Coturnix japonica: one gene and its partner. The protein of the gene in region 2 interacts with the protein of the main gene of each other region in a biochemical or structural test. Links are inferred from orthologs where the notes say so. Each region holds a gene or a part of one and is shown on either strand. Other genes may lie near its edges. The genes, in order: alpha-1-antitrypsin-like and PLAU.

Evidence for each region.
Region 1: the proteins of PLAU (region 2) and alpha-1-antitrypsin-like form a complex in vitro, tested with the Homo sapiens proteins (2 studies listed by BioGRID). The link is inferred for Coturnix japonica from reciprocal best matches to the Homo sapiens genes PLAU and SERPINA5.

What each region holds. Positions count from the first base shown.
Region 1 is NC_029520.1:41,321,656-41,331,826, forward strand, and holds the end of alpha-1-antitrypsin-like, read right to left. Parts: intron 8,562-10,171; exon of another isoform or gene 8,449-8,561; intron 7,268-8,448; 5' UTR 7,256-7,267; coding exon 6,598-7,255; intron 5,165-6,597; coding exon 4,894-5,164; intron 4,235-4,893; coding exon 4,087-4,234; intron 3,284-4,086; coding exon 3,089-3,283; 3' UTR 3,004-3,088; downstream 1-3,003. UniProt on the Homo sapiens protein: Heparin-dependent serine protease inhibitor acting in body fluids and secretions. Inactivates serine proteases by binding irreversibly to their serine activation site. Involved in the regulation of intravascular and extravascular proteolytic activities.
Region 2 is NC_029521.1:13,072,069-13,081,552, forward strand, and holds the end of PLAU (urokinase-type plasminogen activator), read right to left. Parts: intron 8,713-9,484; 5' UTR 8,663-8,712; coding exon 8,603-8,662; intron 8,022-8,602; coding exon 7,967-8,021; intron 7,806-7,966; coding exon 7,701-7,805; intron 7,146-7,700; coding exon 6,980-7,145; intron 6,597-6,979; coding exon 6,505-6,596; intron 6,413-6,504; coding exon 6,223-6,412; intron 5,651-6,222; coding exon 5,496-5,650; intron 4,915-5,495; coding exon 4,774-4,914; intron 4,615-4,773; coding exon 4,466-4,614; intron 3,586-4,465; coding exon 3,391-3,585; 3' UTR 2,412-3,390; downstream 1-2,411. UniProt on the Homo sapiens protein: Specifically cleaves the zymogen plasminogen to form the active enzyme plasmin.

The DNA of each region.
Region 1 (10,171 bases), on a different chromosome or scaffold from region 2:
AAGTATGTTCTCCATAGAATATATCATGTAAATTATCTCAAATCAGAAATCTCAAAAACATAAAGGAGATAGCGTACTTCAGGAAAACAGAGGTGATGTCACTGTTCAGAGCAATAGCATGATTATTCTACAGTGTGTGAATCTGCCCCATGGTTTACCTCAGGTTGTGTCTGAAGCCAGGTTTGGGTCCTATATCAAACATTTCATGGAGAGTTGTTAAATTTGGATTTCTTCTTATGTGGCTGCCCTTTATGAAACACTTGAGATCTAAGATGTCTAAGTGCTGAGTGTGGGAACTGTGCTCAGTTTGCCTAAAATGACAGATAAAATTATAGACAGAGAAAAAGTAAAATCTAAATGAAAACAGTACACTATGATCCTGTAAATACTCTGTATGTAACACCAGAAATCTGCTTCTGAGAGAGATTAGTGTCAGCCCCTGTGCCACTTAACTGCAGTGTTTGAGGATGGTTGTGGTATCAATATATTACTCTCAGCTCCTGCGCTAGTCCTGTATCAGCCTAAAGTATCTAGGACATCGAGCTGCAAGTGAATTTACTCCTCTGGTAGTAGAGGCGGGGTTCAGTGTTTCACCTTGGGGTGAATGGCAGCTGAACATTCACTTTGGACCTCATCTCCCTTGTCATCCTGACACAGTATCTAAGAGCTGCATCACTGATGGAATCCCATTCTCAATGCATAGACCATGGTTCCAGAAGATAGATTTCCAACTACGTATTCAAAATAAAATCATCTCATAATTAAATACTATGTATTAAATTGCAGAGATCATAGACAATACAAGTTCAAATTCTTCTAAGTATGATATAGTACTTACAGTGTAGTTTAAAAAGAGTCTGCTGGACCTCTCATTCACAGTGCTCCTTCCCTACTCTCCGTTTTGCTCGGTAATATTAAGTTAATGTCCACTGGTAAATATTAATCAAAGCAAATAATATTTATTTGTAAAGCAAAGAATGAGTTAGCTACTTTTTTTTCTAGACATCAAACATCGTAACCCAGTTTTTCAACACATAGGTGAAATGATGCCAACATCTAGGGCTCAGAGGGTAAAGAGCAAGGTTCACACTACTCTTGCATTTGTGCAAACCTGTGGGCAAAAGCGCTTTGCATAGCACACTACCTTGGGATTTTAAAATCCACACAGTAAGAGAACTGGAAATCTAAGATAGGTGCTGAGTGATGTCTGGTTGTGAAAAGGGTAGTTTGTCCTACAGGACTCTCCGCATGGGATATCCTGATAGAAGGATATCTAATCAGCTACCTGAAGCACCAAAAAGCTAGGTCAGGAACAGCTCAGTACCTCCATATTGCCCTGCAATATGTGTTGCAGGGCACATTGTAAATATACTCTAATGAGATAAGTTGCTTCAAATGTAATGCCTTTTATTTCTTTCCATGGGGGAAAAAAAAAAAAAAAAAAAAAAAAAGTACAAAGAGCTCAATAACACTATTTGGTGGAGCAAATTGTAAGCTACAAAATGCTATTTCTTGTGATAATAACCACCATGAATTGATTTGTGTGAGTGAGATGACTGAGATGCAATCCATACCACAGTGTGACAGCTAGATTTGTATGTTGGAAATGTGGCTTGTCTTTCACACAGCTATCACCATTCCTGAAATGCATCACCCTCTGCCTCACTGTGTTTGCCTCTACTGCTTGGTCTCCAGAAGTATTTGGCAAGTGTTGATGAATGTCAGTAGGTGCACATTTTTCCACCTGGAGGAATTCAGTGGCATGCCTTTGCTTTACATGCACTTCCATGTCAGATACTCTAACAAGGGGCATGGCAAAAAACTTGTTATTCCAGTGTCTGAAAGGGAATTATTACTATCCTCCCATCCTACATCTCCTTTTTTCTAGAAGCCCTACCAATATTACAGATTATCGCTGTTTCATCCAACACCCACTCAACAGCACACTTTGTAGAGTTCATCAGGATTAATTTGCCAAACTCAATTTTAAACCATCCTCAGGGAGGAGCAGACATTGATTTCTATCCTCCAGGACAATATCCTTCACAGTACTCCAGATCTAATGCTAACTCTACTCTTGCAGTTTCAGCTTAATTAGGATGTTGGAGTCGTAGGATTGTCCATCTTCAGGTAAGGGAGGGCTGTGAAAACATGAATAATCTTGAATATCCCTGTAACCAAGGCAAATGCTCTGATTGCAGAGATTGGTATGATGGGTAACTGTTGCCTTAGAAAGGTCAGGTTCCACAGAGGAACTTGTTCTAATATTGAATTGCTCTCATAATCTGTCGAGTAAATCTTTAAGAAAATGAGAAACAACACACTGAGAAAGATAAAAGTATTTAACACTTCTTAAATAGTTGCTGCTGCTGAATCCAAAGGGTGGAACAGTGAAGGAGTCAGGCCGATACCACAAAAGTCTGGCTGTGTTTGTTGGCAAGTGTATCTTTTCTTGGTGCTCCAGCCCTTCACAGGTTCCAAGATTTGACTGAATTTTAACAGTACCTTGGATCCATAAAGCTGAATAAAATGTCTGATTGGCACAGACATCCTCAGAGTGCCAAGCAATCATTTTCTCATGGAAATACATGACCTTTTCCCATCAATAAAATTCATGTGGAAAAGAAAACATAAGATATACCTAAGTAGGCTGCATTTATATTCTAAATTTTCATGTCATCTCTTCAGGACCAGGACCTGGTAAGTACTGCAGACAGCTGGAGAAAACAACAGCCTTTTCCTACTTTCCTACTCATTATTCAGAAACAGTCTGCTTGCTCATTCATTATATACTGAACAGGTTTTAAACTGCTTCTCTCAGCTAGATACTTAACTTTTTCAGTGATATTGTATTGGTCATTAGAAGACTGATGTATGCACTGCTTCATAATTCCATGGTGAACGCATCTTGCTAGTTACTTTCTACTGGAGGAGGGAGCAAGGATGGTGATTTTAAGAGCGACCACATTCTTGTCTTAATTATTTTTAGAAAAAAAAATAAAATTACTAAAAGATTTAAAATAATTTTAATTACATCAGACTATAAATGCTTAAAGTGCTATTCAAATCAGTTAGACCTGCCACATGATCAACCATTTTTCAGTGGGTTTACAATTTTTCCTATGAAGAGGATACTTTCAGTGTATTGATCAACAATCAACAGCAAAAATGGACGGTTGAACTTTATAACAGGAGGAACAGAATGAGGAGCAAACTCTGTGCCAGTGACTGCTGCAGCCTCTGTGCCATTCTCATGAATTTTCAGCAGACCCTTGTGAATAGCCTACAAGGAAACACAGCAAGTATTACTGTACACAACAGGATGGGGGTGGAATGACTAAAATTGGCACAAAGTTAATTCACCTCCTGTCATTCACAGAAATGACTAGGAGGTCACAATCTAAGAAGGAAACTTAGTCTGAGGGAGGTGTTCTAGCAACGTCATCTCTATAAGGAGGAGCTGTTCTGTCTGTATCCCTAATACGTGATGGATTAAACTTTTGTCAGTAGAAAATAAATATTCATATCATTTTTTTTTTTCATTTTCAACATTTGTTTCACTAAAATCAAGATACTATAATGTTACAATTACTGCTTTCTCAATGCCCATAAAATTTTATTTTATCTTTGTATTATTTGTTCTTCCCAGGGAACAGGAAGCTTTCCTGTAGCCTGATCCCTCTTATGTGATTAGCACTTGCTAGTGCCTTCTATGGAAATAGTTTGAAAGTTCTTTAAAATTCTATAATCACATGCATGCATTAAAGAAAATAGGCCATTTTTTGTACTAGATATGCTCATGCAAAGCAACCCTAATATATGGAGTCTCGTTTTCTATGCTGAAACTATTTTGTTCTTGGAAAAATTTATATAAGCCTCTCAGCCTTTGTCACAACTTCAGGCTGACAGAAGGAAGGCAATATTCAAGATCCAGAAATAAGTCTGAAAAAATTTAAAGTTTCTCTACAAGCTAAAATGTTTGAATTCACAGAGTATAAATCATTCTCAGAACTAAGAATTATGCTGGAACATAACTTAAATCAAAGGAAATAAGGAATTCATAGACTTTTCTGTTGTCCAACTTACTCTTGAAACCTTCAGGTTGAACTTTCCTATGATTCCAGACAGATCAGCCTGGTCGGAAAACACATCTGTTATACCCAGATTCATGACCATCTTCTTTAAGTCATAGGTGCCAGAAATGGATACTTTTGGAATATGCACTTCCATCCTCCTATTAATTCAAAAGAGAGTTATGGTATTTATTATAATCAAGGTATAACTTGAAGTGTCCCAATTTGCTGGTAATTTTGTGCTGAAATTTTAGTCTTCAAATATAGAAAAAATGGCAACAAAATGTGGGAAGACAGTGGTCAGGATGATGATGGGAAAATGAAGTATTAGAAAGACATTACTTAGGGCTTGTTTCCAATCTTACAAGCACCCCCTGAATAGACAACAAGCAGTGATAGTGCCAGCACCATTGTGGGTACTTTTGCATTCATTTTCTAGCCCTCAATATATTATTTTTTATTTTTTTTTTTAATCATACCCCATTTTCTCCAAGGGATCGGGTTTCTATGTCACAGTAGTATCACTGTTAACATACTACATTTGGGAAAAGGAAGTGGAGATCTTGACTATCAACTGAAAAAGGTAAAGAAATTGAAGCTGTTTCTCAGCTCACAAATCTATTCCCTCACTACAATGCAGTGCCAGTTCAGATTGCTGCTGAAAAACCTGTGCAAACCAGTACATTGTTTAGTCTATCCATTTATACCTGTCCCATTACTTAAACCTCTACTGAACAACAAAACCTTATAACTGTAAAACTTGATTATAGTGTTTAGGCCTCAGGTTCTGACTATTGTGAAGTATCAAATTAGAATTTACCGTCTTTCAAGTGATTTTTCCCATTTAGACACTGTGTCTTTCATCAGACCATCCTCCAGCCTTTTCATTTTTCCTTCATTGGGCAGGATAAACAGTGCTGAAACATTTCCCTTGTAAGGAATCCTCACCACCTTGCATGACAGCTTCTTGTCAGAATATATGTCATAAAAGCTATCTCGAATCATCATCTTCACTTCAACCAAAGTCTTTTCATTCACATAGAAATAATCCTTGTGAGTCCCTTTCATATTGAAAGGATTTTCCCAGTAGGCTTAAAAATAAGAGAGAAAGAATACATTTGCATGCTTATTTTAAGGAGGATATGTTAAAATAGTCTAGTCTAATTTACACCAAATACATTCATATCTAAAGATTTATGCTCATAATTGAAGATCAAAGGAAATCAAAATTTATTCAAGGTCTTGTTCCCTGTCATCTCTGCTATAATATGTTCAAGTAACAATTATCCAAGATTAAACTTCAGACAGGTGTTGCAAGTCAGATAAATCAAATGAAATAACTTCATGATGTTACCTTAAATTTATTTGAAGAAAAGGAAAAATGTGAAGAAAAAGAAAATAAAAGTGCCTAACTGTGGTCGAATGAGTTAATTTACAACCACTTTGCTTGCTATGTAAGTTCCCCAGCAGACGCCTGCCTTTTTAAAGGTGATGTGTTATGCTCCTCCCATGCTTTCTCATCTGTTTCTCATCTGGTATCACTAAAGAAAAACTTCAGTGAAAGAACAACCTGAACTTTCGGGTCTGATAGTAACTACATTACAGTAAGTGGAACAGGGCTTCTAAGGCTTTAACCTTCCATCCTTGTTCAAATGACTTTTTAGTTGCATTTTGCTTATATTAAATCAAGTCATTCACTGAACAAATACATACAGTTCACTGTTTGTCATTCCAGATCTAAGTGCATTTGTTTTTTAAATATTGAACAGAAATGAAATAAAATTGAAAATTAAGTAGTAGAGCATAAACACTGAAGTACTTCAACTACTTTATGAGTTTGAACTCCCATCATAATTTCTTATCATCACAATCCACTTCTAACTAGGGTACCTAGATTTAATAGAGCGCTTGAAATAAAAACTATTTTGCTGAATGTTTCTACCTACTGACACCTTCCTGGGTGATAAATTCAGTTTACATCCTGCATGCTGCTACGAATGGATATTACCTTTAAGAAGCTAATCATTGCTAAAGCAGCAAATTCTCAAGTCCATCCTGGCGTATATATATAATGTAATGACTGGCTGTAGAACTTTTAGAGCCCAACTCCATAGATATGCACCTATTTAATAAGCCTAGGTTGTAGGCCAATTGAAGATTTGTCATTTTTTTAATAATCTTAGGAATTTGGTTTGTTTCTTCATACAGGATATATACTGACTGCAGAGTAATTTTTGCAATAAAACAAAAGTCTGATAGAAAAATCCACAAATGCATACATGTGCTGTGCTCTGATAAGTCCTGAAGATTGCAAATAAGTAAATTTTTGTGCTTACAAGCTAGAAATATGCTTGAAAAAAAAATCACAGATGTATTAAAAGGTTTCAAAGTGTGCAAACTTGCAATGCTTCTTATAGTTTTAACACTGTCCTTCTTTTAAAAGTAATTCATAAATAATCTGGGATTTGGTTTTAGTCCAAGGCAAACTTGGATACTGCAGTAGCATCTGTATAACTGAACTTACCTTTGAAATAAATATAGTTAACAAGTACCATTAAAGAGTTTGGATCGAGGTCCTTAAGTATTTGATTTATCTTCCCATGTGTTTTGTTTTTTATATGATCATTGATCTCTTTTTTAGCCTCAGTGGAATTCTGAAAGTTACTAGAAATAATTTCCCCCTTGTACAGATTTTTCATGTCCTTCAGAAATGTTGTCAGTGGCTTCAGGTGTTTGTCCATGAACAAGGTATTTCCCATGCTCAGCTCCACCTGGCTGCCAGGACGGTTCAGCAGGAGAAGAAGATGGTGAAAGCCAAGGTGTATCTCCTCCTCCCTGTTGCTGGTGAGATTAAAGGCCAGCCCCTCCAGCAGCTGAGCCTGGGTTGTAGCTCTGGAGCCCAGGGCCAGCAGGGCAAGGGCAGCAGAGACACTGACTGGGGAGAAGAAAATATTCATGCCAGGTGCTTGGACAGTTGCTTGCCTGTAAAACCTGAAGGCAAAGTCCGTGTTGCTGGGGATTATATGCTTGCAGAAAGCAAGAGAATCTTCCTCATGAGGATGCTGCTCATGAAGGTGAGTTGCTCTGGGCTCTTCATTGTGGTGGTCAGTCTGTCTCACACTGGGTACTGCAGGGTAAAGGATGGCCAGCAGTGAGCATAGCAGGAGGATGGCCTTCATCATACTTTTCTGCTACTGTGAGGACAAAAATAAATTGTGTTGGACCATGGAGAATGGCCACGTGAACATATCATCTTTTATTTATATCTGCTGCTACCCACAAAAGTTATTAACGCTGTTAATCTCCTGACCTGCTCCTTTATTATGACACAGTTTTGAAACACTCCTGCTTTGATCTCAGATGTAACTCATATCAATTACTGCCCACTTCAGTTCTGCTTTCCTCCAGCTACACAAGTCCCTAGTTACTGGATGCTTGTGAAGAGAGTAGCATGTGATTATTAAAGGGAAACATGATTCAGAAGGAGAAAGAAAATTAAAAGGTTCATTGTTTTTTTTTTTTTTAATCTCACTGTAGATCCATTTTATGGTATGGTGACACATCAGAAACAACTCTTGCATCTACTGTGTTTACCTCTAAGAACTCTCATGTTTAGCATGATATTTGTGATTGTAAGAGGCTTATGTCAAATGACTGAGCTATGTCCGTGGAAAACAAGAAAAGTTTACAACAGTCATAACATCATCTCTCTCATTCCTGATTCATTTTAACACATGAAGTGAGTAATCACAAGCAAGTTAGTGATGTTTTCCTGCTTTAGCACCTGATTATATCAGAATACATTGCTTTATTTTAAACCATCACTCAACTAATGCACATCTTCCAGACGGGTTCCTCTATTTGTGCAACCCACAATGGTGATGAGATGGTGCAGCCACTGCAGTAGGCTTGGCATATCCTGTCTGTCTAAAATTTGTATGACTAGGGAACCCTCCTTTCAGCAAAGGTAACTTTATGTATCCTGCTTGAAACACACTGGTGTAAATAAGACACCTCATTCACGTTGGAGCTTTGGCTATCACACCACATACTTTAGAGAACTTCAGTAACTGTATCATACCAGAATGACTGCTGGAAAGTCAGAATATTTTCCCTCTCCTTAAATAAGATGATTTCTTCTAGAAACGAAATAGATATTTTGGATAAATATTCATAGCAGAGCTATACCTGTAGAGCTGCTGTAATGTATATCCATGATTTGCTATTCAGTATTTCTTGGAAATTAAATTCAGCTGTCATTTGAGTGCTTAGAAACCAAGTTTCACCTTTAAAAGCAGATGTGCTTCATGACTCACTAACTAAATGTCACATAGCTGCATCAAAGTCTTTAAAGTAAAGATATCTGGGTACTTACATTGCATTCAGAAGGGTCCTGCTCTTGCATGGATTTTGCTCTTGTTGCTTTACTGCTGTTTTCCTCTGTTAAACATTACATGGCCTCAAATACAGATAATCTAAAAGGATAAAGCTAAATGCTGATGAAGCTAATTTTCTTGGCTGCCATATTCACGTGAACACATCCCTACTCCAATCAGAGCTAAGACCACGGGACAAAGGCAGTAGGTTGAGGAGAGTGCTATGCTCCATGAGGGTCATAAAGCAATGCCAAAGCAAGTATTAATTGGAAATGAGATTCTGTGCCAAATACAGCTATTTTTCTCTCTGTGTTACCTGAGATGGAAACTGACCTTCCTCTGGAGCTGTACAGTTCCACCCAGCACTAAGCTCTGACATCTAAGTTCAGGGTAAGATAGCTATGGGGAATACCTCTCCTTTTCTGTGATGCTACTTGGCCTATCATGTATTTGACATTTGTGAGAGCAGTATACACACCCAATTCCTTTACATAGAGACTTCCCTTGTTTCCTGAAGATAGCGTGTTTTTGCTGAAGTGCAAAAATCACACAGAATCACATTGGTTCCTAACCTTGATAGTATTGAAATTAATATGCTTTTCACACAGAAATCTCTAAAATAGTCAAGGAGCTAGCATCTGCTCGGAGGATTTTGGTATATCTCTGTAACCTTCTTTCAGGTAGTTGTAGAGAGCTACAAGGTCTCCCCTGAGCCTCCTCCAGACCAAACATTCCCAGTTCCCTCAGACACACCCCGGAAGGTTTATGCTCCAGACCCTTCACAACTTTGTTACCATTCTCTGGACACATTCCAGAGTGTCAGTGTCATTCTTGTAGTGAGGGCTCCAAAACTGAACATAGTATCAAGGTGTCACTAGTGCCAAATATAGCACTCGGTCAGGTTAAAGTTCATATGCTCGGTTTCAGCCCAATCTAGCCAGTCCAGGTCCCTGCAGGTCCTTCTACCTTCAGGAAGATTGACACTTCTTCCCATCTAGGTGTCACCTGCAGACTTACTGAGGGTGCACTCAGTCCTCTCATCCAGATCATCAATAAAGCTATTAAAGTGGATAAGCACCTATATTGACCCATGGGGAGCACCACTTGTGACTGGTTGCCAGCTGGATTTAAGTTCATTCACCTCTACTTTCTGAGACTGGCCCTGCAGCCAGTTCCTTACCCAGCAAAGGATGTACCTGCCCAAGCCATAGGCTACCAGCTTCTACAGGAAAACACTGTGAGAGACAGCATCAAAAGCTTTAATAAGGTTTAGGTAGATTAGAATCACAGCTTTTCCCTACACCAGGTGAGCAACTTAGTCATAGACAGAGATCAGATTGATGAAGCAGGATCTGCCTTTTATGAACATCTAACCATCCTCTGAGTTAGAACAGATCAAGTACAGACAAAGACAACAGTGAAAAATTAGACAGGGATTGGGAAATCTAAGATACCAACTAGTGGGAACCATAATGAGGAGTTTCACGTCCTTAAGAGGTAGTGGAAAGGGATGCTGACTTACACATAGTAGAGGCACTATGGAAAACAAATGTCACAGAGCACTTGTTGGATCTGGAGAAGAGCTGTAAAGGAGAGAAATGCATCCTTCTGGCACACACAAAAGTAAAATACACACAGCCTTAAATTCAGACATCTTGAGAGCCTCAGTGGATATATTTCCCAGACCCACATCCTCTTGATACCAGGAATCAGAAACTTCCT
Region 2 (9,484 bases):
CAGGCTTGACTCTAAAGGACAAGATTTCATTAAGATTCCTACTCCTAAATTCCATCACAAATATGCAAACTTTGTGTACCCAAACTAAAATAAGCTGCAAGATGTAGTACACATCTCACAAATAAGTGTGCTTATTGGATGGAGGGAGTCCAGCTGATGCTTTTTCTGTTGATTTTTTTAGAAGACTGCTATAGTTGAGTTTGTATCTGAGTGGTTCTGAATTCATTTTTCTTGCTATGAAATGAAGATGTTGATCAATCTAATAATGAGTTTATCTACCTCATCTCCATTTGAGCAAGATAAAAGAAAGTATTTGTCTTTTTTTCTTAATACTCTTTGATATCTATAGCATGACAAAAAAGAATTTGACCAAAATAGTCTTTTGGGTGCTTTTTAGGAGTCCATCCATTTCCAGGTTCTGCTCATCTCTAGTCAGGGTACTGCTTTTGTGTCACAATGAATTGCTTGATAAATATTGCTCCAAAATGTTTTCAAAATCTGGATTCATTCATAATTAAACTGTGATTGAGATCAAAACATTTGTGTAGGAGCCACACAAGGAATGATTGCACATAAACACTGAGGTTTTTTTCTTACATACCTGTAGCAAGCAAGTAAATGTTGTTATCAACTGATATACAAAAATCAGTGAATGTTTTGACCTCATTGCAATTGAAATTTTGCATTTATGAGGGGAGATGAAAAAGTAGCTAGTACTCAAAACAAAGTATTTGGGTAGGAACTGTTCTTGAAAATAGGATAAAAATGACAAATCAAGTTGCTGGCCTGTGATCTTTTCACCAGTAACAACTGGAGTCTTGCTGTTGTTTTTTTTTTGTTTGTTTGTTTTGGTATTTTTAGGATGGATAGGATTGATAACTTAAATTAGCCTGCTAATTAGCCTGATCATTTGTTCCATCATGGCCACTTCAACATGGGAAGTCATTTTTCACATTCTTAAATGCTTGGCAAGGTATTATGTTGCAAGTGCAAGCCTTTTGCTTTAACATTTAAAACCAGCATACGTGGTACATATATATCTGATGCTGTGATACAGATTCTTACCTGTTGTAGCAGAAATACCTAAGTGAGGGCTTGAAGCAGTGATTGAGCACCTGGTGGGAAGGCAGAGCCAGCCCAGGGGAGCTCAGGTGCATGTAGTGCTCCCGAGTGACCAGAAGGGATGGAGCCAGGATCCACCCCTTACAAACCTTGTATCAAGGTTGGCAGTGGAGGCAAGGGGATCTTGCTGGAGATCCCTATCTAATAGAGGCCTTCCAAGGGTAAGCAGATTTTCATTTGTTTCTGTGTCTACAGCTGCTGCATTTGGGCTTATTCTCATTTGCTGTAGCCTAGGAATTTGCTACCCTATCATTGCCCTGTTTTCCATCCTGTTATAGTGTTACATGTGTAAATTTGCTATGAATGCTGCTTGTAGCAGTGCCCCCAGTGTATTCATTTCTCTTAGCTACTTTCAAAGAAGCAAAACCACAGCAAAGCATTCTCCTTCAGGTGTCAAAGTGATTCTAGAATTGAACTGTGCTCCCCTCAAAGGGGAAGACTTTGTACATATTTTTCAGTCTTTGATGTTTGCCCAAACAACAGAACATATCTTCAGCAAGGATGTACTTTGTGTTAATGATTATAATATTTTGTCCAGAATTGGCAATGTAGTTGGCTTTAATTATTAGATTGTTCTTACCGCTGTGTTACAAATTCTTTTCTGACTGAACTTCTTTCTTAAGTGTACGTGGGGGAATAAGTGAACTGAAGTGTAAGTGAAGCTGTTGCTTGGTGTGCAGTTTATATTAATGAAGATATTACTTAGAAGAGCTTAGTATCAATGTTAAATGAAGTATTTTCTGAAATTTCTACTTGTGACTAATTACTGAGGAAAGCAAAACCTATTACTTTCCTTTTATCACCTATGATATCATATTGCAGCATTAGGTTGGTAAGGGGAGCATTCTAAGCTCTTACACCTGCACTCACACCTTGTAAAAGGTAGGGGATGAACTTTTGAAACCAAGTTCCTGATTTTACAACTTCCTCCACCAAGTGATTGGGAACTCAGTGTAGGAAATCATGGAACACGTGAACTGTATTTCTTTAAGGTGAAACCAAAATGATGTAGTTTGCTTTAGGAATTCAAACCAAATGTGCTGCAGTTACTTGGGAGCATCTAGTTTATACAAAATCCTGCAACATATATTGTATGGATCTTGGTTATTATTTATTGCATGCTGTATCACTATCTGCTGTACTTACTTTAGTACCGTCTACCAGAGCTGAAGATATTAATTAAAGATGCATGAAAGGAAGTTTGGACATCCCCATTTTACCAAATGAAACAGTGACTGACATTAGAACTTCAAAACATAGTCTTCCCCTTTCAAAAGAAGGAACAGCTATGTAAGAATAATAGTTTTATTGATAGTTTTACATATATAATACAAATAATAAGTTAAACATAGTAAAAATTAAATAAGATGAGGTTCCAGCCCTCATGCAAATAATTCCATCTATAAAAAAAGAAAAAAAAAAAAAAAAACAAGTTTAAAAATAAAATCAGTGAAAGTCTTGGGGGGGGGGAAGCAGTTTCCATATCATATCAGTTAGATGAATGGAAATAAGGTTCTGGCTTTCAACACTCAGTGTGTGCTGAATCCTTAGCTCTTCTCTGTGTTGCATAGGTAATATAGAAAAGTGGTACCATCAGACTTCTAAGGGAACCCAGGCTCCTTTGGATGGGACCTGGAAGTGTAGTCACATTATTTGTTTTCCCTCTTTAGTGCAGTTCTTTGGTGGAATACCACAAGAGTTTTTAATTCTAACACAGCTGTAGTTGCCATCACAAAGATTTTAGTATTCTTTGGGTCTACGGGAACAAGTCCTGTATACCAAGTTCTGCTTCAGTCCTTCTTCACACATTAATGATAATCAACACTGATGCAGTTTCTTGCACATTCTGAGGCAAAGCCTGTTCACATTCCCAGTACTGGTCTTCACAGGTCAGGTTTCTATCATTCCACATTGTTTGGAGTGATGGGAAAAGATGTTAGATGCTGTATGCAAAATGCACAAGTAAAATAACTTAAAGCTTCACCAAAAGCTCCAGAACAAATGCCAGTTTGTAAATGAAGTGGACAGTTAACTTGATGTGTACAGTATTGTGCATGGGAATACTCATTTAAATGTTAAATATTTTAGTTTCCCATTGAGTGGTTTTCAGTAATTAAGAGTAGTGAGATAGTATCAACTTCTGCATCAGAAACACTGTAGTGGCAATCTATGTGATCAGTTAAAAGCAAGAACTCTGACGTTCAGGGCTTTGGTGCCCTGGCATCACCACAGTCTTACTGTCATTTAAGTCCAGAAGTACACAAACAGTCACTTTGGTTCAGGGAAAGAGCGACTTTTGGTAACCACTGCATTCATATTTGAGTTGATCCAGTTAAGGTAGCGAGTAACTCTGGTGTAAACGCCAGGCTTGTTTTTCTTCGCACAGCCATCTCCCCAGCTGACAATCCCATAAAGTGTCATCCTGCCATTGTGCTCACAGACCATGGGGCCGCCAGAATCTCCCTGACAATGGAAAAAGAACGTATTAGGATGTTTTCTGTAGATGGAACTTTGATAACAGGGAGCCTGTGATTACTGTTTTTCTGAATTGAAACAAACAGTAGATAAAAGCTAAAATTCTCGTGTGTGTGTGTGTGTGTGTGTATATATATATTTAATATATATATTTAGAGTACTGTATAAATGGAAGAGAATGTTCAGCTCCTGTTTCAACTACAGCGCAGTCAAGAGTTCTCTAGTCCCCTTAGCTTGCCCAGGTGGAACAATTACTTTGTTACAGCTCATAATCATAGCTGTTAAGGTGGTTGAACAAGGTCAAAGCAAACATGCCCTATTCTGCATCACGTCATTAATCATCCCCCAGCACACTTAAGGCTAACTCTGTTTTTTCTTAAGAGATGTATTGGTCAGGCTGCCCAGTGAAGGTGGAGGGAAGCAAATCCAGTTTTGAGGAATCTGCATAAGGCCTCAGTATCTTCCTGTTATCCATCTCTTTTAGCCATCCATTATCCCACTGCAGAATTGTACTTAAGATTAAGTAAGTGTAGCTGAGACCGCCTCTGATGTGTTTATCTACCAGCCACTGCCAGAACAAATTGTAACATCTCCAAGAGCAGCAACGATTAAGGCATTGCAGCTGCTGCTCTGTGAGAGGCTGACCTGGAGGGGTTTACACCAAACTCCATGTTCTTACTTGCTTCCCTGTCTTCAGCCACCCTGAGTCAACTCTACTAGCTATAGTGAATTCCCTCTACTCGAAGACTCTCTTAAGTAGCAGAATTACAAGATGCTGCTATGCTATAGTTGATCCATTCAGTATGCTTCATTTAAAGTCATTTATATGAACAACAAAGATTTATTATTACTATTATTATTTTTTTACCTTGCATGCATCTGTTTCCCACGCCGGGTCTCCAGCACAGACCATGTTGTCAGTAACTCTGATACTGTCATAGTATTTATATTTGCAAGCGTCCTGTGATATCAAGTTTACAGTGGCTGACATCAGCCTTTGAGCATAGTAAATATCGTCTAGGAAAAAGGGGAAAAAAGGTCATCCTTGAGAGTTGAATGAGGTACATGGAGTAGTAGCAGTGAGTCTCTGGGTCTTGTGAAGGTCATGGTCTTTAAAAAAGTCAACCATTTCCAACAGAGACTAAGTAACAGTTTGGAAAGAATTTGTTCACTTACAAGAATTCTGTTTTCCATAGCCAGCTATTTCACACCGGGTATTGTCGTGCAGGTCAAGGTTCTTCTCTGGCAAGCAGACTGTTCTGACATAGTTGGTTTCTACTGCACACTGTCCAGAAGCTGTTCTTATTCTTACCAAAGCTAACAACAACAAAACAAAACATAAGATTACTTAAATTTGTAAAGGAAGTTCTCATTATATGGTTCATCTCATTGCTTTTGGAATTATAAGGATCATTATTTAGTGACAATAATTTTGCATCATTGAGTAACAGAATTCAGGTCATAGGCAAGGGTTCAGTGTCAAGTGCAAGGGTGGCAAGTCCATTCTGTGCATGTTACAAAAACCTATCTGAATTCATTTGTTTAGGGAGAGGTTTGTAAAGCAGGGAGAGACTTCAGGAAATAAGGCTTATTTCAGGGGAACTTTTAGTTAATATGCTACCTAATATGCTAGCTGATATGGCATTCCCTTGCCAAATAATGTAACCTACTGTGCATGCACTGTGTCTCAGTCTACAGTATTTTACTATATGTCAGGTGACACATTTTGCATCTGTGTGTCTGTCTACCTTGTGGCACATGACATGGAATGATCTTGCTCACCACTGACCCAGTTCTTAGAACTACTTGGCTCCTGTTCCCTTCATCTCTGCTCTAGTTGTACATTTATTTGACATATTCCTCAGTGTTTGAAAGGTTCATATTAAGATGACACTTACCAATATCATTATCATTGCCTCCTGTGTAATCTGTAAAGTCAGGATGAGAGATTATTTCATCCACCATGAACTCTTGCTCATGTCCATCAGTAGCATTCAGTACAGACTTTCCAAGCAAGACTTTGTAGACTGACTTATTCGGTTGCCTTTTTGTCCTGTTAAAGTAAAAAGATTCATGAAGGCTGCTATTTCTGAGAGTAGGGTTAACAACTTAAAATCAAGTACCAGTTTGGTTTCATGTTTACTTAAATGCAGACAAGACAAAGCAACAAGAGTGTTGATCAAGTATGCTACAGGAAGGTCTGCTGATTCACCACTTGAGGTGAATAAGCTAGATGTTCATGCACTATGAGAGGCACACCTGGCTAGCTGCTACTCATGTCTGGTATCAGCAGTGAAACTCCCTGGCGGAATGCAAGGAGGATCAGCTTTCCACAAGAAAAAAAAAAAAATGCACTGAATGTACATCAAGACAATGTTTAGGTTTTAGGAATAGCTAAGCTAAAGAGAAATCCCGGCTCCAATTCAAGCTAAAATTGTTTCAGCTGCATAATCCACCAAGATGTTTGTATTTTGCTAGGCATGGACTTTCAGAGGCTTAAAGTTCACGGCTGCTCCTCTTTGTCTGCTTAAGGTTTGCTCATTCAGAGTGAGGGGAAGATATAGAAAATCTATCAAAGGAAACTGCAGATAGGAAGGATGCAGAAATTCAGAACTTTACACTTACGGATCATAGAAGCAGTGTGCTGCTGTAAGCACCCAGCAAGGGTCAATGAGGCTGCCACCGCACAGAAACTGGTCCGTGCCCATCATGTTTTGGAAGATGCCAGCTATCCAAGGCTGAGTCTCAACATCAGCCTGGCTTCCACCAACAATCTTGAAGTACTTGCTGAAGCTTCTTTGGCCACATGTGTGCCCTATGGAAGAGAGTTTTGTACAGATGTTCACATGGCTGGCAAGCATCAACTTTGTGCTAGAAATCCATTGTCTTGAAACCAGTGTCACTTACCACACTTCTCTATAGTGTTGCAAGGTGTTTCTCGAATGGAGTATCCGTATCTTTTGGTGTAGCACCAGGGCCTGCTCCTTCCATTTGGGTTTCTGGAAAATAAAGGAAATGTTCTTTTTTTATAAACCCAGTTCTTTAAAAAAGGATAGTATTTTAGAATTCTAACTGGAAAAGCCAAAGGTGTCTTTCTTGTAAGATATGCTGGAGAAACCAATTAATTTTTTGAATACGGAACTGGCAGTTTGTTTTGTCATAAGTGAAACTTCCCTTTGGAGTTGTTAATGTGATACGATGGCTCTGTGAAATTCCCAGCTGTTTCAGTAAGCAGTAAGAACTCCAGGCACTTCAGAGAGTCCCGTTCCAAATATTTTTAAATTCAAGTTGATCTCTGAAATATTCTGCTATCCCTTTGGACTTGTAGTATCACTCAAAGCTCTGCTGGTATTGTCACAGGAAGAATGATGCATCATCTTACCTGCAGTAGTTGTGTTTGCCCAGTCCAAGATCCAGAGCATTCTTCAAATCAGCATGGTAGTCGCCCATCCTGATTACTGAAGGAAGGTCCCAATATAGACAACCTGGATCTGCTGCCATTCCTCTGTATGTCTCCCCATTCCCACTGTAGCACATGCTGTCAGTGTCTGAGAAAACAAACATTCGTTAGCAGCATGTTCTGTTTTATAATTGTTCTGAAACAGAAGTAATCTGTGTGGATCACTTTAGTGATAAAGCATGCATGTGTTATATGATAAAAAAGGATGATACAAAACCTGAATTGATTACCTATTCTTATTGGATTTGTTCTCTGAATTTTATGCATGAAATAACATGCTTTAATCCATGCATATTGCTTTTGGTGGTTTGTTTTGTGTGTGTGTGTTTTTGTTTTGTTTTCTTTTTTTAAAGCAATTTCAGTGTACTTCATGCTATAATTATTTGTTTTGCTTCTGGACACTCCTAAACAAGTTTACAAGCTACAACATTCATGAGGAGTGCAAGAACACTTGTAAGGAAGCAGGGACAAGAAAATGCAAGACTCCAATTTTGCTTTGATATTTGGCTGTTTCTCCTCTTCTTGATTATTATTAAAAATTGATGAAGGATATTAAAACTTTCACTTGAGAATCCTTATTTGTGATTTGCTTACATTTCCTGTTCAGTCAGTTAGTTAGTATTAAGGAAATTGGATACTTTACCTATTTCACAGTGAAGCCCACTGTATCCTTCTGGGCACAGGCAACGTTTAATTTGGCTGAAGAAGCGATAGGTAATGCAGGTTCCACCATTCAGACAGTGGCATTCTGCAAATAAAAGACATCATTAGTAAGAGGTGAAACACTTGAGTGGTTGAGTGAAATGCAGTTGCAAAATAAGTTTTAGCTGCATATCACTGAAAGTCATCTCTCTTTGATGAAGATGTAATTGCAGGTTCTTTTTATGTTTAATTAGAACAGATACTTACCTCTATGTTGGGATCTGTGTTTATGTGGTAACTTGTAGTACTGCCTGAGGTAAACCTAAGGTAAAAAGGAAAAAAATTATTGAAGGAGGCAGTTCCTTTGACATGTTTCTATTACAACTTCTCCCTCCCCGACTCTCAGGTACTGAGCAGTCCAGCAAAGGTGGAACGTGCTCCAGCTGTCTGTTGTTGGGGACCTTGGTGCTTCATGCTTGTGTATGATAGTCAAAATATTCAAAATCGGGTCCATGTCTCCTTTTTCAGCTTTGTATTCAGGAGGGCGAAGACAAATTTAGTGGAGGACCAATACCCTCCTACGTAAAAAGCACCACTGAGTTCTTGATACTCTGTGGTCTGAGTTGCTTTATGAAAAGATAAGTGCTGGATTTCTTGGATACTGTGTGATGTCCTCACTATTTTAACTCTAGAAGACATCTCAGGGAAGAAAGGAATCGGAAGAAACAAAGGGTTCAAATACGCATTTTTCCAGAGGTATATGTGCAGCAGATGTAAATGCAAAGGCAGCAGAAAGAAGAATTAAAGTCAGAAGCCCAGCACCCTGTCCAAAGCAGAAGTATAATTGAAAAACAGAAGTGGATCTAAGTAAAAAAAAACCTCCTCACTTATTTCAAAACTTACTGAATCTAGTCCCATGACCAGCGTGCAGAGAGTTATTGTGAGAAAGATGAGTAACTTCATGTTGACAGTTAAGTTCTCACTTTGTTCCTCGTGTTAGTTTTCGTTCGATTCTGAAAATAAAAGAGGAATTCAGTGACACGTTGTAGCTTGCAGCATCAGCTTTCTCATTGCTGTTGTTTTACCTGGTTTGAATAACAATACAGTGGGCAGAAGAATTAAGACCTGACTTATCAGTGGAATGTCTGCATATTATTTCCATAAATCAGCTTAGAGGGTATGATTTTATCACTTAAAGCTATTCTGTGCATTTTGAAACACAGCCAGATTTTGCAGAGTTCACACGAGGCAGAGATGGGAGAAATCCATACTCTGGGTAACTGCAGTGTGGACTAGCAGTCAGAAAGCAGCAGATTTATTTAGCTGCAGTCCAGCTCTTTGTGCTTGCTTAACTGATTATTACTGCCTTGCAGCAAGACTTCTAAATGGTCTGAACATGCATGTTGATGCGTGGGAAGGAACACTCAGCTCTCAGTGCCTCCTGAGCTGCTGAGCCCTTGCGTAAGCCCAGGCACCTCGCTGAGCACTGCAAAGTCCTGAAAGTCTGGTCCCGCGGTTACTGCCTGTATGGTATTAGACAAGCTTAAACCTCTTCTGTCCTGATTTGATGCGTGCAGCTGCCTCCTGCAGCCGAGCACACAAAGCAATCAGCCCAAGAGTGAGCATTACAAATCAGCCTGTAAAAAGGGTAGGGGGAAAGAGATACTGAGTACTAATTTGCTTAAAAAACCAACAAATATAAAAATGTGCAGTGCAAGTCATGGGAATAAATGCCAGATTATTATTTATGAAACGGAAAAGAATCTTCTAAAAAAAAATGAGTGA